5 linked regions of the Ovis aries genome follow. The protein of the gene in region 1 purifies or fractionates together with the protein of each later gene. This does not show direct contact. Links are inferred from orthologs where the notes say so. Each region holds a gene or a part of one and is shown in the gene's direction. Other genes may lie near its edges. The genes, in order: POMK, CANX, TMEM59, GHITM and LRP6.

The links.
Region 2: the proteins of POMK (region 1) and CANX purify together in Homo sapiens (affinity purification with mass spectrometry; 3 studies listed by BioGRID and IntAct, counting the BioPlex papers as one, with this or other methods). This does not show direct contact. The link is inferred for Ovis aries from reciprocal best matches to the Homo sapiens genes POMK and CANX.
Region 3: the proteins of POMK (region 1) and TMEM59 purify together in Homo sapiens (affinity purification with mass spectrometry; 3 studies listed by BioGRID and IntAct, with this or other methods). This does not show direct contact. The link is inferred for Ovis aries from reciprocal best matches to the Homo sapiens genes POMK and TMEM59.
Region 4: the proteins of POMK (region 1) and GHITM purify together in Homo sapiens (affinity purification with mass spectrometry; 3 studies listed by BioGRID and IntAct, counting the BioPlex papers as one, with this or other methods). This does not show direct contact. The link is inferred for Ovis aries from reciprocal best matches to the Homo sapiens genes POMK and GHITM.
Region 5: the proteins of POMK (region 1) and LRP6 purify together in Homo sapiens (affinity purification with mass spectrometry; 3 studies listed by BioGRID and IntAct, counting the BioPlex papers as one, with this or other methods). This does not show direct contact. The link is inferred for Ovis aries from reciprocal best matches to the Homo sapiens genes POMK and LRP6.

The regions. Positions count from the first base shown.
Region 1 is NC_056079.1:37,076,922-37,080,498, forward strand, and holds part of POMK (protein O-mannose kinase), read left to right. Parts: intron 1-751; exon of another isoform or gene 752-960; intron 961-2,345; exon of another isoform or gene 2,346-2,387; 5' UTR 2,388-2,488; intron 2,489-3,059; 5' UTR 3,060-3,239; coding exon 3,240-3,557; intron 3,558-3,577. UniProt on the Homo sapiens protein: Protein O-mannose kinase that specifically mediates phosphorylation at the 6-position of an O-mannose of the trisaccharide (N-acetylgalactosamine (GalNAc)-beta-1,3-N-acetylglucosamine (GlcNAc)-beta-1,4-mannose) to generate phosphorylated O-mannosyl trisaccharide (N-acetylgalactosamine-beta-1,3-N-acetylglucosamine-beta-1,4-(phosphate-6-)mannose).
Region 2 is NC_056058.1:1,394,338-1,397,914, reverse strand, and holds part of CANX (calnexin), read left to right. Parts: intron 1-3,122; 5' UTR 3,123-3,125; coding exon 3,126-3,299; intron 3,300-3,560; coding exon 3,561-3,577. UniProt on the Homo sapiens protein: Calcium-binding protein that interacts with newly synthesized monoglucosylated glycoproteins in the endoplasmic reticulum. It may act in assisting protein assembly and/or in the retention within the ER of unassembled protein subunits.
Region 3 is NC_056054.1:28,569,631-28,573,207, reverse strand, and holds part of TMEM59 (transmembrane protein 59), read left to right. Parts: intron 1-54; coding exon 55-149; intron 150-2,869; coding exon 2,870-3,022; intron 3,023-3,577.
Region 4 is NC_056078.1:38,167,664-38,171,240, forward strand, and holds part of GHITM (growth hormone-inducible transmembrane protein), read left to right. Parts: intron 1-1,614; coding exon 1,615-1,723; intron 1,724-3,191; coding exon 3,192-3,380; intron 3,381-3,577. UniProt on the Homo sapiens protein: Plays an important role in maintenance of mitochondrial morphology and in mediating either calcium or potassium/proton antiport. Mediates proton-dependent calcium efflux from mitochondrion.
Region 5 is NC_056056.1:203,329,484-203,333,060, forward strand, and holds part of LRP6 (low-density lipoprotein receptor-related protein 6), read left to right. Parts: intron 1-3,080; coding exon 3,081-3,283; intron 3,284-3,577. UniProt on the Homo sapiens protein: Component of the Wnt-Fzd-LRP5-LRP6 complex that triggers beta-catenin signaling through inducing aggregation of receptor-ligand complexes into ribosome-sized signalosomes.

The DNA.
Region 1 (3,577 bases):
TCCATGGTGACTGGTCGGTCGTGCTTAGGGGATGGAGACATCAAGTTCCCCGGTTGAGTCCCCCTCACAGTGGGGACCCCTGCGTGGCAGGCATGCTGGCGACAGGAGAGGGAATTCAGGTGTGGACATCCCAGACCTTGAGGGGTCCCCGGCTAAGTGATGCTTTAGGAGAAAGAGCCAGGTCACAGCAGAGGCTGGAAACCATTGGCGTGTACGCGGCCGCCTGAGCCGTGTGCGTGGATGAGACCACGTGGAAGGCGTGGAATGGAAGAGGAGCCCGTGACATCACCCGAGGGATGCCATCCCCTGAGGCGGGCCGGCCAGCCGCTCCTCCCGCCTCCCATTCTCGGGTGGCCCGTGAGCTAAGGATCCCTTTCACGTTTTTAAATACTGGGGGAAAGAAACAAAGGAACAGTCTTTTGTGACGTGAGGCTCGAATCCCAGTGTCTGTGAGCAGAGTTTTGCTGGAGCAGAGCCATGCTCGCCCCACTGGTGCAGGAGGGCCTGGCTGCTTCTGGCGGCCGGATGGAGGGACGTGACCGTCCCCCGGTCACACTGCACGGCCGCTGCACGCCCCGCACGTCCCAGTGTGTGGCCCCTCGATTACCGCTCTGGCCCCTAAAGCTGAACTTTTACTGTCTGGCACTTTATGGGAAAAAGTTCTTCTGACCTCAGGTCTAAGTCGAGACACTCTTGGTCACTTTAAATGCCACAGAGGAGAGACGGCAGGAGTTTTGCCTGTTTCTTGCAGGTCAGCTTCTAAGAATCAGGCACTGGGGGAAGACACTCTGGAGACTGTGAGGCCGGAGTGGTTAATGTTGTTGCTGCGTCCACCAGAGTCCTGGGAGACGTCTGGAGGGAGGGCGCCGGAGAGAAAGATGCGGGCCCGGGATCTCGAGGACGGCGAGCAGATAGCGCCCGGGCCGTCACTGGGTGCTGCTGGCAGGACTTGGGCCATGGGTGAGCACCCCACCTGGTCCCAGAGAGGAGGGGGTCCCTGAGCTCCTCGCGGTGACGGCAGAGATGATAAAAGCCCTGCGTTCTCTTCCGATAAGGGCAAAGTACACTGACCCGTGGAAGAGTCCTCCCTTCTCCCATCCACCTACTAACCCGGCCTGACCCCGCTTAGCTTCGGAGGGGAGATGCGGTCTGGCGTGTCCAGGGTGGTGTGGCTGAGACGAGTCCCTCCCCTCTGACAGTCCCTGCTCAGCAGAAGCGCTGTCACTGCTGACCCCTGCAGCGTGGTCACTGGGAGATTACAGCTGGCACCTCTGAGATCGCGAGCACTGAAAAGAGCGGATTTGAGGGGGGAGGGTTGAGTTTGGGAAGTATTTTTTTTATCTTTTCGTGTTAAGATTTTATATATATATATATACATATATATATATATACACACACACACACACATAAAAATACATACAGCATCTTCATTCATTCTCTGTTGACAGACACTGTTCCTTCCATGTCTTGACTCTTGTGAATAATGATGCTATGGACATAGGGGTGCATGTATCTTTTCAAATTAGTAGGGGTTTTTTGGGGTTTTTTTTGGATATGCACCCAGGAGTGAGATTGCTGGATCATGTGATGGTTCTAATTTTAGTGTTTTGAGGCACTTTCACCTGGCTTTCCGTGGCAGCTGCACCAATGAACGTTCCCACCAACAGAGTCAGAGTGCTCCCTTTTCTTCACCTCCTCACCAGCGTTTGTTATCTCTTGTCTCTCTTGCTGATGGCCATTCTGACAGGTGTGAGGTGATGACCTCAAATTTACAGTGTGTGAATTACATCTCAGCCTAAGTTTTTAATTGAATTATAGGTGATTTACACTATTTCGTTAGTTTCAAGCATACAACATGGTGACTCAGTATTTTTAAAGCTTATGTTCCACTTAAAAGTTACTACAAAATAATGGCTGTATTCCCTGTGCTCAACTCTGGGTCAGAGACAGAAGTGGCTTCTCCAGGCAGAGCGACTTAGCTGCTCCAGACGAGAGCGGAGGCGTCGAGCTCCCCGCCAGGTCCTGGGGCTGCAGACTTTCTGTTTGTGCTTGCAGAGAACAGTTTGCAGTGAGAAGGCAGGCGTCGTTCAAAGAGGATGGCCTGGCGCTTGGCAGTGCCCACAGCAGGGCACGTACAGGCTGCCTAAGACGTGTTGGAGGAGTGGGTTCCAGGAGGGAGTGATGGGGGTCATGGGGGTGGCCGGGGGCAAAGAGGGGCTGGCGGGGAGGCCTGGGCTCCCGGCCCCCCTGCACCGACCCGGAGATCGGGAGCCTGGGAGACCCCCCTAGCTGGGAGGGCCTGGGAAAGGGAGCTGCTTGGACTGTGGCCGTTTGTCTGTGTGCAGAGTCACAAGTCTTATTCAACAGACCTCCTGTTTGGTACTTAGAGGAAGAGTGCTTTGAAACCAGCGCGTGGAGCCAGCTGGAGCCTTGACCGATCCAGGAGTCTGGCCAGAAACCTGAGCAAGAAGGAAGGCCCTCCCGGCAGGTAAGGCTTTGTGTCGCCGTGTCCTGGGCCCCGAGACCCAGGGTCCGTCAGGCACTGTGTCTCATGTGCCTGGTGCTGCGGCTAAGTCCGTGCCCTCTGCTCTGGCCGCTCCCGGTGGGTGGCAACCAGCGTCCACCCCAGGATCCTGGAGGGCCCGATATCCAGGTTCCTCCCAGCCCCCTGTGGCCAGGCAGCAGTCCCTGCCTCGCACTGGCCCAGCACCTGCTCCCGGGCCTCTGAGAGTCACCTGCGCCCCCACCTCACCCCTGTCAGGCCACCTGCCTTCTTATCAGCGCTCATCCTGGATTCCGGCCCGGGCCCCCACCCAGCCTCTCCCACCACCACCTCCCCTACCGCCGCCTCCCCCACCAACCTCCCGGGGCACCCTTTCACACCTTTGCTTCTTAAAAGCATCAGGGGGCTTCTGAGCACCTCCCAAGGAGCACCCCAGCCCCTCAGCATCCCGGACGGCCCCCAGCCCAGCTTCTCTCTCCCTTGCCGTCTCCAGAGCCGCGCTTTGCTTTCCTCTTAGCATTGCTAGCTGCGCGGTGCTTGCCTTTCCTCACTGCAGGTGGCTGTAGGGGAGACAGAGACACGGCCGGACAGGCCCAAGACTGCCTTCTGCTCGACCCTGCAGTCAAAAGTCGGGGCTCCGGGAGGAGCCGGCATCGGGCACGCGGCCCGCGGCTGCTCACGGCGGCCCCGGGCCCCTCCGTCCTTCCTGAGTCTGCCTGGGCTGTGACCACGCCTCATGTCTCCGTCTGAGGGGCTGGCAGAGCGCAGTGCCATGGAGACGAGGCCCCCGGAGGGCAGGAAGGGGCCTGCGCCCAGGGAGCTGCCCCCGGCCGTGGGGCTGCTGCTGTCCATGGCGCTCATGAACATCCTCCTCTACCTCTGCCTCGACCGGCTCGTCACCGCGCCCCGCAGCCCCACGGCGCACCCCGGCCGCTGCCCGCCCGGCCACTTCAGCATGGGGCAGGCGGCCACCTGCTCCCCGTGGCTGTCCTGCGAGCAGCTGAGGACGGAAGTGAGGCCTCTGAAGCGCGTCGGGGAGGGAGCCGTGAAGACGGTGAGTCCCGCTCGCCATCG
Region 2 (3,577 bases), on another chromosome or scaffold:
TGTAATAGAAATAGGAGATCTGAAGTCTTTGACTCTCACTTATTGGTTGTGATATTGAGTAAATGATTGGGTTGTTTTCATTTCACTACATCTTAGTAATACCTCAAGGGAGGTTTGCAAAATAATGTAACTGTGAAAGTGCTTTTATAAACTGGAACACAAAGCACAAGTTGATGATTCATAAACCCTAGTCAGTGGTTCTCAGGGTAGCAACCTTTGCATCCCCTGGAACCTGATAGGAAGGAAAAGGCCCAGCACGCACACACTCAATCAGCAGTCTGTTTTAAAAAGCCCCCTGAGGCACGCTCAAGTTAGGAAGAGCTGTCTTGTGACATTATACTCAACCCAAGGAGCATTGTGTTAGTCTGCTTGGACTGCCACAACAGCACCACAGGCCGGGCAGCTTAAACAACAGAAAAGTGTTTTCTTACAGTCTGGAAGTCTGTGATCGAGGCGTTGGCAGAGTTGGCTTCTGATGTGGCCTTCCTCCTCAGCTTGCGGAGGGCCACCATCTTGTGTCCTCGTTGGACTTAACCTCTGTGCATGTGGATTCCTGGTTCTCTTCCTCTTACTATAGACACCAGTTAGGGCCCCAACCTTATGACTGCTTTTAACCTTAATTACTTAAAGGTCCTATCTCTAAATATAGTTATGTTGGGAGTTCAAGTTTCAACATACAAATTTGAGGTAGGAGACACAGTTAAGCCTGTAACAGCGGTATATGTTGTATGTGTGTGTGCGCTCAGTTGCTCACTTGTGACCAAATCTTTTACAACCCCATGGACTGTAGCCTGCCAGGTCCTTCCATAGGATTTCCCAGGCAAGAATACTGGAGTGGGTTACCATTTCCTTCTCCAGCGGATCTTCCCGAAATGTGGGTCTCCTTCATTGGCAGACCAGTTCTTTACCACTGAGCCATCTGCAAGCCCATAACATAACAGCAGTATATCAGTAAATTAAAAGATACAGGGAAAAAAATCAGTCTTCCTGTTCTGCAGCTGTACTCTCCCTCACTGAACCCTACCTGAATCCCATTTTTGAAAGTTAAGTAGTTAGTTCATCTCCCCGATTAGCTTTTCCTTGAGCAGCAGTGTTTTAACATCAGTGCACAGTCCTTATTAATTCACTGGCTTTGTGGTTCACTTAATTGCTACTGGGCTTATCACATTTGCCTTTTTGACTTAACTATTTTGTGGGCTAATTTGATTTATAGAGTATCCCTGGGAACCCAACTGCCATTTATAGCATTATTTCTGTGAGGACTTCTTAGGTTGTATACAGTTGATGTAGATAAAAGGGTTGAATCAGCCTGTTTAGTTTCAGAGAATCCAGTGTAGTTGTAAATCAAAGCGATATTGCTACGCCATTGTAGATTTCGGTGGTAGAGAATAGAAGCCTTAACAGTGAAAAATTGAAATTACTGGCATTTCTTGGTATATAAGAAGCCATAGCAGAATGTTGACATTGAGAGTTTTTAAACTCTAATACCAGTCCTAGGAAAGATGATGAGTGAGTTTTTATTTTTATAAAAATCTTTTATTTCTTTATTTTCTGTGCTGCCTAGGAGTCCAGTGAGCCTTACTTTCTTTCATTTTGTGAAAACAGTACCCACGCTTTATAAATAAAGGAAATGCCGCCAAATGATACATGAAAGTCTAGTTCTATATAATCAATCACTTTAAAGGATTATAGCATTTATAAGGAATTAGGCGTTAAATTCAGCATTAGAATAAGTTGATTTACCAGTGACCAAAAAATTAAGCTATTTTATTTTAATAAAATCTTTTTTATAGCAGTGAAAATACTTGTAAGATTTACCATCTTAACCATCAAGTTCAGTGGCATTGAGTATGTTCATATTGTTGTACAGCTTTCACCTCCATCCGTCTCGAGAACTCTTCATCTTGCAGAATTAAAATTCTGTACAACCTACTGCCGAATCATTTTGTGCATCCGTGTGGCTCAGTTTTTGTATCTTTAGATCTGTGGTTTTGGAGAGAGGATTGACTACCATCCATGACAGTCAGATATGATATGTAAGACACTTGAAGGCTTAGAAAAAAGAGATAAAAATAGTTGGTCTATGGTTTAATATATTTTTTTGTTTTTCGGAGAAGGCAATGGCGCCCCACTCCAGTACTCTTGCCTGGAAACTCCCATGGACGGAGGAGCCTGGTGGGCTGCAGTCCATGGGGTGGCACAGAGTCGGACATGACTGAGCGACTTCTCTTTCATTTTTCACTTTCATCCACTGGAGAAGAAAATGGCACCCCACTCCAGTGTTCTTGCCTGGAGAATCCCAGAGACGGCAGAGCCTGGTGGGCTGCCGTCTTTGGGGTTGCACAGAGTCGGACACGACTGAAGTGACTTAGCAGCAGCAGCATGGTTTAATATATTTTTTTGTTGAATCTTAAAACTGATGTATTATTTATTTACTTGGCTTATTGGGTCTTAGTTGCTGACAGGTGGGATCTTTGCATCCTGCGGGGTCTGGTTTTAGTGCAGGACCTTGTTGAGCATGGAGTCTCGAATTGTGGCCTGTTTGCTCTGGGCTTAGTTGCTCTGTTGCATGGAGGATCTTAGTTCCCCAGCCATGGATCAAACTCAAGTCCCCTGCTTTGCACAGGGTTCCCTGGAAGTCCCTTAAAACACTAATTAAAAAACATACCTATTCTTCTTGATCTTTGGACAAAAACAGCAGCATCTAATCTAAATTAAGTCTTTAATGTGAGGCAAGTTAACTCCTCTGTTATTTCATTGTAATGTTTTAACTCGTTTAAACTATTCTGTAAAAGGGGCTTTGTCTATTGTAAAGCTCTTTACAAATGCAAGAAGTTATTTTGAAATTATATCTGAACACCCTAGGTCTGTGTAGCCAACATGATATTCTATATGGGGACAATTGTTTGAGTTATAGTTTGAATTTTTTCTTGAAATTGAATCTTTTAACTAACTGATTTTAGGAAAACCTGTTATTCTGAGTTCACTTTCTTTATCTATAAAATGAAATACAGTAAAGTTCCTTTCAGCTCTGATTTGAAAGCCTTAATTTTAAATAAGGGTTCAAAATTTTTGAAAGGAGGTGATACAATTAACTGTATTTTTTTTTAATAAATACTTAGATCATGGAAGGGAAGTGGTTGCTGTGTATGTTACTGGTCCTTGGAACTGCTCTTGTTCAAGCTCATGATGGACATGACGATGATGTGATTGACATTGAGGATGACCTTGATGACGTCATTGAAGAGGTAGAAGACTCGAAACCGAAGCCAGATGCCAGCAGTCCGCCATCGCCAAAGGTTTGACATGATCTTTGAATCTGTTTGTTTTGCCTCTTGAGATGATCAAAAGATGAAGGTACATTTTGGATCCTTACCAAAGGGAAAGCAAAATTTGCTAAAATACTTATTGCTCTCCCTGTCAACCTTTGTTATATTGTCCCAAAGATAAATTATATGGGTTGAATTTGAGGGCCAGTCATGCAAGTGTGAAAGCAAACCAAGAGAATAGATCCTACTGAGAATATTTTAATTCTTAATTCATTTTTATGTTTAACACAGGTCACCTACAAAGCTCC
Region 3 (3,577 bases), on another chromosome or scaffold:
TTTTCTTTCTCTCCTTCTCTTTTTTCCTTGTAATTTACTGTTTTTCTCTTCCAGCATGTACAGAAGCATATTCCCAATCTGATGAACAATATGCTTGCCATCTTGGTTGCCAGAATCAGCTGCCATACGCAGAATTGAGACAAGAACAAGTATGAAACAATACCGCCCTTCAGAAATGCCTGCTTAGATTGCACTTTGTATTGAAATGTATATTGTTCACATGATCCTATTTCAGTATTATATTTTATAATTAGTTTCAGCAAACAAATTATTTTTGCAAATAGAAAAGTCAGTTACTTTTGTATAAGGCTTTAATGTTAAGAGGTATGTTCACACCCATAATCTCATTTTGTTTTTTTTTTCTTGGTCTGGTGACAGTATTATCCCCATTTTGCATATGAAAAAACTGAGGCTCAGAGAAGTGGAGAGTTCCTTTTACCTTATCTGCCATTACCTTAGATCAGCATCATTTCTCATCTGTATTACTAAATGAGCTTCCAGTCTGTTTTCCCACTTTAGCCCCTTCTAGTCTATTGTCTAGTCTGTGTCTGGATATTTATTTCTAAATGGAAATCTCATGTCATGATTCTATCTTATATTCTTCAGTAGCTTCCCATTATATACAGGTTTAAGTCCAAACCATTTATCACAGCCTGGCTTCTGATTACCTCTTCTATATCATCTCTTAGAATTTCTACCCCTCTTACTCTATCCAAGCGTTTGGGGGAAAGTTTTTGAATTAACTTTGACATAGGAAATACAACCGCATGGTACAGAATTCAAAAGGTGAAAAAAAAAAAATATACACACACACACACACACACACACACACACACAGTTGACCCTTGAAAAACATGGATTTTAACTGCGGGACCATTTACACTTGAATTTTTTTTTTCTTAATATTATACTGTACTACGTGATCTATAGTTGGTTGAATTCTCAGATGCAGAATCACAAACGTGGGAGACCAACTATAATCTGTGTATATTCACAGATTTCAGCACCCCTAATCCCTGCCATTGTTCAAAGATCAGTTCTTTAGTGAAAAGTTTCCTACCCCTGTATCTCTTAGCCACTCCATTTTCCTCCATTAATGTAGCCAGGGTTACCAGTGCAGAGGCATTTTATACAAGGATACATGTATTCTTTTCTAAAATATAATTAAAGACTGTCTACTCATTTCTTTCCAGAACATACATAATTTCATTATATGGATGTATCATTTATTTAAGTAGTCCCTTGCTTATGGACATGTAGGGTTGTTTCTGGGTTTGGTGGGCTGCCATCTATGGGGTCGCACAGAGTCGGACATGACTGAAGTGACTTAGCAGCAGCAGCAGCAAGGTTGTTTCTAATTTTTTAGATTTACATATAATGTTGCCTATTTTTTACATTTATATTTCTAGAATAAAATCATAGGAATACAATTGCTGAGTTAAGTATATGCATTTTTAATTTTGGGAAATAGAGCAAAATTGCCTTGTATGGAATTTCTATCACGTCTTAAAATTGACATATAATTCATACTATAAAAATCATTCTTCTGAAGTATTCAGTGTAGTAGTTTTTAGTCTATTCCAGACTGTGCAACCATCATTACTATCTACTTCCACAACGTTTTCATTATCGAAAAAAGAAATCTTATACCCGTTAGCAGTCACTGTCTTTTCCTCCTCCTCCCAGTCCTTGGCAATGTAGTACTTTTATTACAGTTTTAATTTGTGTTTCTCTTACGAGTAACTTTAAACATATTTTCTAATTTTTAAGACCCTTTTTTATTTCCCTTTAATTATGTACATACTAAGAAGTTCTTAATGTTTGTAATATGTTAATGGTGACATTATTTCTTGTTTCTTCTATTCTCTGCCTAGTGAATCCTTTTGACTCAGGGCAAGTATCATGTCCTCTGTGAAGCCTTCTTAGCCACCTCTCACCCCAGTTTGGGTTAGATGCCTCTCCCCACAGACATGTATCACACCGTGTTTCACCTCTGTCCTGCGTAGATTAAGCACAGACACATGTGGATGAATAAAAGATGAATAAAACACACATGGTTTCTGACTCTTAAAACGTATAATCTCAATGAATGCTTACTTAGTGAACTAATCAATGAATGATTTCACAGCTTTTAAGTGGAAAAATTAGATCACGAGTACAGATCTCTTCTGATTCTAAAAGCTCTTCTCCCTTAATAACCCCATAGTGTCTTTCTTTTGAAATACAGCCAGAACCAAAGCTATCTCTAGAGTTCAGTGAATGGTATCTCATACTTATTCTCTAGAGGGGCCCACTGCTGTTGAATTAGTCAATAGTCAGAATTAAAGGGGAGGCGATACCAATTAATGTAAAAATCTCATCAGTAGCTTACTGTATGTAGTCAGCCCATAAATATTTCCCTCCCTCTGCCCTGTTATCAGATATCTCACATTTTATGCATATATTCCTTGGATTGATTTTTTTTCCTTCCTTTTTTCCATTGGTGTGTGTTATGGGATGGTTCATTTTACATGAAAGTATTAAAGATTTGTCCCTTCCTCTTCTGCCTCTTGAGGCCTTGCTAATCCTTATTTAATCAAAAGAGAAGAGTTTAGATTTTCTACATTTTTGGACCTAACTCAAAAGCCTGTTAATTTGATAGAGGTGACAGGTAGCTTATATTGTATTAGGTGATACGTTAAAGGATCCTAGGAATTTAAGCTCATGGTTAATTGCATAGATAATGAAGAGTTTACTCTGATGCTAATGACGATAATAGAATCACTTGTTTTATACTCTGTCCAAATAAGGATTTGATTATATTGTTCTTTTGTATATGTGTATATAAAAAATAATATATTTCACCTTGATTTAATTTTCTTTTTTTAAGCTCATGTCCCTGATGCCAAAAATGCATCTACTCTTCCCTCTAACTCTGGTAAGATCATTCTGGAGTGATATGGTGGACTCTGCACAGAGCTTCATAACCTCTTCATGGACTTTTTATCTTCAAGCTGATGATGGAAAAATCGTTATATTCCAGGTAATAATGTGCTTCATAGAGTCATTTAAATACTAGCAGTAGTAATGGAGAAGGCAATGGCACCCCACTCCAGTACTCTTGCCTGGAAAATCCCATGGACGGAAGAGCCTGGTAGGCTGCAGTTGATGGGGTTGCTCAGAGTCGGACACGACTGAGCGACTTCACTTTGACTTTTCACTTTCATGCATTGGAGAAGGAAATGGCAACCCTCTCCAGTGTTCTTGCCTGGAGGGTCCCAGGGATGGGGGAGCCTGGTGGGCTGCTGTATCAGGGGTCGCACAGAGTCGGACATGACTGAAGTGATTTAGCAGCAGCAGCAGCAGCTGCCCATTGGAAATCTATTTAAAGCCTATTGATCTGTATCTAACAAGATCTCTGAGTCTTCTAAATTTTAGAGTGGTTTATTGATAAAATGAAGCCTATAGATATAAGAGCGGAGAAGGCAATGGCACCCCACTCTAGTGCTCTTGCCTGGAAAAAAGGAGCCTGGTAGGCTGCGGTCCATGGGGTCGTGAAAAGTTGGACACGACTAAGTGACTTCACTTTCACTTTTCA
Region 4 (3,577 bases), on another chromosome or scaffold:
ATAAACAGAATTAAAGAGGCAGGAAACTGGGATGTGTTTGCAGTATACCACTTCAGTGTAGCTGAAGTGTAGGGTATGGGAAGGTAAAAGGCAAAAAATGGACCTGCATCATGAAGGATTTTAAAAGAAAAATACACAATTACGTTAGATATCCTGAAAATGCAGAGATCCATGAAGTAGCTTTTAGTAATTGTTTCTCCCTTGGAAGATGTTGGAGTAGAATCCATTGTGCTATTGGGTATTATGAGTGAAGGCTTTCCCATTCTCAGCAAAAATAGCTGTTCCATTTACCTGTACTTTACCACAGGGTTGACCATTCAGATGTCCTTGGTTCAGGCAGATGAGGCAGATGATTGAGGCAGGCCTGGTATGTTACACGGGATTATTGGCATCTAGAGAAGTGAAGTGAAGTCGCTCAGTTGTGTCCAACTCTTCGTGACCCCATGGACTGTAGCCCACCAGGCTCCTCAGTCCATGGGATTTTCCAGGCATGAATACTGGAGTGGGTTGCCATTTCCTTCTCCAGGGGATCTTCCTGATCGAGGGATCAAACCCAGGTCTCATGCATTGTAGGCAGACGCTTTACCATCTGAACTACCGGGGCATCTAGAGAATGCCTTCCCAACTAAATGAACTCACTTTTGTTTGTTGGTTTGAATAGTTGGCCAAACAAAATGTCTGCTGCCTAATCTTGCCAAAGGGCTGCAAGTATGCAGTTTCTGCCTTAAATTTCCTGAAAAGTATCTTTCTTGCATTACAAACATTTCTTTCTTGTGCACACAGAATATATAAATGTGTAACAGTGGAAATCAAACATAGGCAAAGTAGAGGGATGAGGGCCAGCCAATTCAGCCAAAAAACTGGGAGGATAGAAACGAAGACTCTTATTTCTCGTCTTTTTCTTGTGCTCCTATTTTTCAAGTTTTCATTTAGAGAATAGAGTTTAAGGCAGTGTGCCATATATGTTCTAATTGGTATATCATGAGTAATTGTTTTTAATGTTAGTGTTATGCCAAAATAAATATAGTCTACAATAATTGTTCTGGGATTTTTAAAGTGGTTCTGTTACACCTCTGTCTAACAAGAATAAAATGTTTTAAAGATTAATTTTTACATCTTTATTTATTTGACTGTGGTAGGTCCTTGTTGCTGCCCATGGGCTCTCTAGTTGCGCATGCAGGGCCTCTCATTGCTGTAGCTTCTCTTGCTGTGGAGCACAGGCTCTTGGCGTGTGGGCTCGGTAGCTGTGGCTGCTGGGCTCTAGAGCACAGGCCTGGTTACCTCGCGGCATGTGGGGCACTCGCGGACCAGGGGTCAAACAGGCGTCCCCCAGCATTGCAGGGTGGACCACCAGGGGAGCCCAGAATAAAAACTCATTTACTTACAGTTGTCTGCAAAACTTTGTGTATAACAGTAGGGGGCACTCTTGCTAATTTGATCAAACTGAAGTAAGCACAAGGCCTTTTAATGTGCTAGAAAAAGAAAGGATTCTGTTTATTCTTCTTCATCTTTTTAAGCACAGTCTACTGGAAGGACTAACTGCACTTGGAACTCGTGGGTTCTACTTTGTTGTTGTGTAAGGATCGGCTTTCCTTAGTAATACATGTCTTTCAGACCATTGGTGCAACCTTTGCAGCCATGATTGGAGCTGGAATGCTGGTACAGTCAATATCATATGAGCAGAGTCCAGGCCCAAAGCACCTTGCTTGGTTACTACATTCTGGTATGTTGTTTTAAAATTGCTATTACACGGTCTTAAACTACCTTTTTTGATGGCTCTTCACAGTCGTAAATGACACGCACAATTTAATTAAGCCTCTGGTCTACTAAACACTGAGAGTTTCCTGCACTTATTCCTGGTTGTATTACTGCTCCATTCTGGCAAGTTAATGTTTCTGGTACTAAGACCATGGACAGCCCCAGTGTTACACTCTTCTCTGGTAATAGTCTAGATAGGCAGAGGTTTCTTTTATGTGTTTCGTCTAATACCAGGAGGATTTCAAGTCTGGTGCACATCACTTGAGAATTGTTCTTACTGTATATCTTTCAGAAAATAAAAAACTGAAGGTCTCCACCAGGGACAGAAGAAGTAAAAATAAGAGAGAGGTTTTTGCAGTAGAGTATAGGGAAGAAAAGAATCGAAAAGATGTTTGGAAATGCACTTCTAATTAGCTCTACTTCTGTACAGCTAATGTGACACCATTAGCTGGATCGACATTTAGATAGATCTTGACACGAAGTTACTGTAGGCAAGGCAGAGGCTGTCCAACCCTGGTATTCTGGAACAGTTTTAATATTCTTTGAGGTGTTTGTAATAGTCTCCTTCATTATGGAACGACACATGCTTTTCTACATAAAGTATTTTCTATGGCAGGTATCTGCCTCTGGGTTGAGTAAAGAGCCAGCCAGGTGCAGAACCAAAATGCTTCTTAGATGCATGTTCCCTGCCACAAAATAAGACAAATTCTATAAGCATTTCCATGAAACTTCCAGGGAGAGAGACCGAAATGTTTTCCACATGGGTTGGTACATGGAAATTAGGCTTTGGGCACCCAATATGATGAATCTCCAGTGTGAAATACAGCATTTACATTCATGTGCTGTCTTTGGGGGAATATGAGACAGCATGCCTTCCCAACCTTGGCTTTCAAGTCTCTCTCCCATTAGGTCTTAGGTAATTCAGCCATAGGTATTTTCCATGGAGCTTTACAGGATGGAACTTTAGTGGATGGGAGGGCAGTAATCCCAGTATTTTCCTTTAATACCAGTATCCTGCTTTTAAGAAGAAAATTATTTATAACATAGTATGCATTTGCTGCTTTTTAAAAAAAAGTTATTTTAAGCCTTTTCTTTATCTCATTTCTTCCAAATGTGAATGTTATTATAAAGACTTGGTAGACTCAGATCCAAATAATGAGCTACATTGAATTTGACAGAGTTACTAAAATTCTAGACTAGTGTTTATACTTGTGAGTATTGATTATTTGGCTAGAAATGGCGTTACTGTTGTGATTTAGAATTTGGATAGGTATAAGTTTTAGCTTAGGAGTTTTGTGGCTACTGTTAATAAAATAAGGAGAAAACTTTGTAGTCCTATTGTTTAATATGTTCAAAAGGCAGGTTAGTTAGAAGCATTTTGCTTTTGGTGGTTATGTAGTAAACGCTTAAGTGCCCACTTGCTCTTTCTCCAGGTGTGATGGGTGCTGTGGTGGCCCCTCTGACGATATTAGGGGGCCCTCTTCTCGTCAGAGCTGCGTGGTACACGGCTGGCATTGTGGGGGGTCTCTCCACCGTGGCCATGTGTGCGCCCAGTGAGAAGTTTCTGAACATGGGGGCGCCCCTGGGTGTGGGCCTCGGTGTCGTCTTTGTGTCCTCTCTAGGTAAGCCACTATGCTTTGACACTTGGTTCTTGGTGTCCTGAAATCATCTCACATACCCTGGTATTCTAATGGAGAGAATGTAGTCAGTGTCATTTTTAAAGTTGATTAAAAGGTATATGCCAGTTTGACTGGCTTTACTCCTTTGGCATAATGGCAGACCATTATTACTGGTTTAACCAAATACACCTAAAATGAAA
Region 5 (3,577 bases), on another chromosome or scaffold:
TTTTTCCCCCAGTTCTTGGAAAAAATTTTGTTTTCTTTCAAAATCATGGCTACAGGGCTCTCCTTAATGATGTCATCTCATGCTTTTTCTTCATTTGTTTACTCGTGTATTCTTTCAGTGAATATTTACTGAACAGCTAATCCACACTGGGCATTATTTGAGCCAATGAAGAATGTATTGCTGAATGAAACAGACATTAATCCCTGCCCTTGTGGAGGTTACGTTCCATCAGGATAGATAATGAACTAAATAAGTAAACTGTATCATGAGGTAGATGGAGATGAGTGTTATGGAGAAAATTATGAGCAGGAAAGGGTGCGTAGGAGGATCTTGATGTTAAATAGGATCACGAGAGAAGTCCTGGCATAAAAGTGACACTATGTCAGGTACTGAGGGAGGTGAGGAAATGAGCTTTGCTGGCTCCCTGGGAGAAGACCTGTCAAGCAGAGGGGAACATGTCTGGCATGTTGGAGAAACACCTGGGGGCCAGTGTCTCTGGAACAGAGTGTAAAGGGATTAAGTCAGAGAGGAAGCAGGAGGCCACATTGTGTAATCCTGTGTTCAGTACTGAAGCAGTTGGCCTTTGTGGCATCTTTGTGCACATTGAGAAAAGGTGTTTCCTCTGGGCACATGCAGCTGCACAGGTGCTTGACTTGGCTACCCAGGTGCAGCCTGGACTTAAGTCCGCTTGAGGCCTTTGGCACAGCTCAGAGATAGCACAATCCATCGTGGTGGGCTTGGGCTGGTCACTTACAATGTTCTTATACCAGAGTGGTACCTTTCTTTAAGCTTTAGGCGAACACTTGTGTCTTCAGAGGAGAGCTGAAAAGCTCCTGCCTGCTTACACCTTCTCCTCCAGCTTCTGCATGTGGGAGTGCAACACTGAGACAGCCCGACAGGACCGTTTTGAAGCCTTCTGCAAGAGACGAGGGGGTGGTGGTTAGAGGTGACATAAATTAGCATGGGTTTAGGCTTACAGAACTGCATATTCTTTGTCCCTTTTGTAAATAAGTCAAAATATCAGCTTCCTCCTGGAACTATTTAGCCAACTGTAATTAATGTCATCCATAGACTTTTTGAAATGAGTATTTGTTTGGAGCCATATTTGGCTTTGTCATCATCTATGTTTCTAGAACACTTAATCGTGAAAGCTTACTAAATGTTTTACTAAAGGTTAAAATTTGACTCAAAGAAAGAAAAAAACAATACAAAGTGAAACATAACTAGGAGCCCAATATATATTTGATTAATTATTTCCCAGGCAGGAAAATTAGGCAGCTAAAACTATGGGGTCTTTCTTCTGAGTTTCATTGTATGTCTTAATATGCTATTTTGTTGGAAGCTTACTATCAGGACCTTTTTTTTTTTTTTTTCCCCTATTTTCTTGATTTATAAGGAAGTAGTACTGCCAAAAAATAATTCTTTTTTTTTTTTTTTTTTTAATGGGAGACTTGTTAACTACTCTGTTGTGACATGTATTCTTACTAATTAAGGTGTTGGTTCTACTAAAATTGCTGAAAGTTGTTAAATCAGTATGCTCTGGACTCTACACAATGGAGAGTGCAGTGGAGTCACTGAAATATTTTTTAAATCTTCCAAGCTAGGTGTGGACTTTGAGCCAGTGGGTAACTTAAAGCAGAATTTCGGGGTTGTGAATACCAAGTTTCTTTGTGAGAAGCAGTGATTTCTTCAAGATTTAAACTGATGTACATATGGGTGTAGGTTTAACACTGTGAAGAATGGGGTTTAGGAGGAGATAAAGCAAGGAGTTCTGTTTTGGCCATTTGTGTTTATATCCCTGATAAGGACAAAATTCTGCTGGATTTAGGTGATGACTGACCAACAAGAGTAGAGTGTATAATTTGGGAATTTTTACATTTGTTTTAAAGAAGATTTTAAAAAAGACTGTTAGACTTTGAAGTTTTTGGTAGCGTTGTCAGATGGTGTTCTTTTCTAGATACTCTCCTCCTTAAAGATGACTGCATAGTAATCAGAGGCCTAGTCCCTGGGACAGGGAAGTGTTGTCTCGGCTGCATTTCCCTGTTTCATAGACTTCAGGCATCAACTAGTGTGTGAATTTTTTTTTTTTTTTAATGGTTCCCTCTCCTTGCAACCATTACATCCCCACAGTGTAAAACAAAGCCTATATATCTACAACCCATGAGGGTTTGTTTCATTCGTACTAACACCACATTTATTATTGCCACTACTGATGATAAGCAATAGCTATTTTTACTTGACATTTATATAATGTCTTATAGGTTTTTTGTTCAGGTATTGTACAATTGGGGCTTCCCTGGTGGCTCAGTAGTAAAGAATCCTACTGCCAGTGCTGGAGATGTGGGTCCAGTCCCTGGGTGAGGAAGATCCTCTGGAGAAGGAAATTGCAACCCACTCCAGTATTCTTGCCTGGAGAATCCCATGGAGAGGAGCCTGGTGGGCTACAGTCCTTGAGGTTGTAAAAGAGACATGACTTTGTGACTAAAGAACAACAACATTGTACAATTGACATGATACCTTACCTTTTTATTTTTACTCGTGTTATAAAATTCTTACAGCAACTCAGTGAGCAGGACAGCATAACCATAACCTAGTTGAGTAAATTTCGACCCCACGAGGTTGAAGGCTGTAGTTAAGATCAAGTGACTAAATTATGTGAGAACTGAAACTAAAACCACTATTGAAGTCTCTTTTTTGACCTGTGGAGACCCAGACTTCTTTCACCCACAAGAATAGATGAGGGAGGAGTTAGGATTATTTACTTGGTAGACAGGGGAATTTTGTTTGTCAAATGCTTCATTGAAATCAGGTGTCCTGTGATGATGCCACTGTGGACATTGGACAGAGAAAAATTGGCTAGTTGGCTGTGTTATAGCGTAAAATTCATAACTGGTTTAGTATCCAGAGTGTGATCAGTGTTTCCTCTAAGAGTTCTGAAGGCATTCCAAAGGGCTTTGTCTCATACAGGTCTTCAACATACATGTCTGTTTTTGTGAGATACAGACAACAGACCAATCAAATCTTTGAGTGATCTGAGACTTAGGATAACTGTTTCATATTTGCTTCCTTCTCTCTTTAAGCTCCAACTACTTTCCTGCTCTTCAGTCAGAAGAGCGCCATCAACCGCATGGTGATTGATGAACAGCAGAGCCCTGACATCATCCTTCCTATCCACAGCCTTCGGAATGTCCGGGCCATTGACTATGACCCCCTGGACAAGCAACTCTATTGGATTGACTCAAGACAAAACATGATCCGAAAAGCACAAGAAGATGGCAGCCAGGTAATCCAGGGCTCAGTTCAAAATCTGGTTCTTCTGTGTAGTTATTGGACCAGCTGGCCATCCTAGTCTACTTATGCAATGACTCTGCTTGTGTGTGTGTATAAAGCTGGAATTCTGAACCTGGCAGCACTTTTTCTCTCCTAAATGATCTTTGAGTAAACAGTTGTTTGCTAGTGCTATTGAAATGAAGATTGTATTGTATTAAAATAACTTCTGCTCATATATTAGAATGACTTTGTCAGTCCACCCATATCCATTTATATTCCATTTTATATTTTGTTTCGTTTACATGGA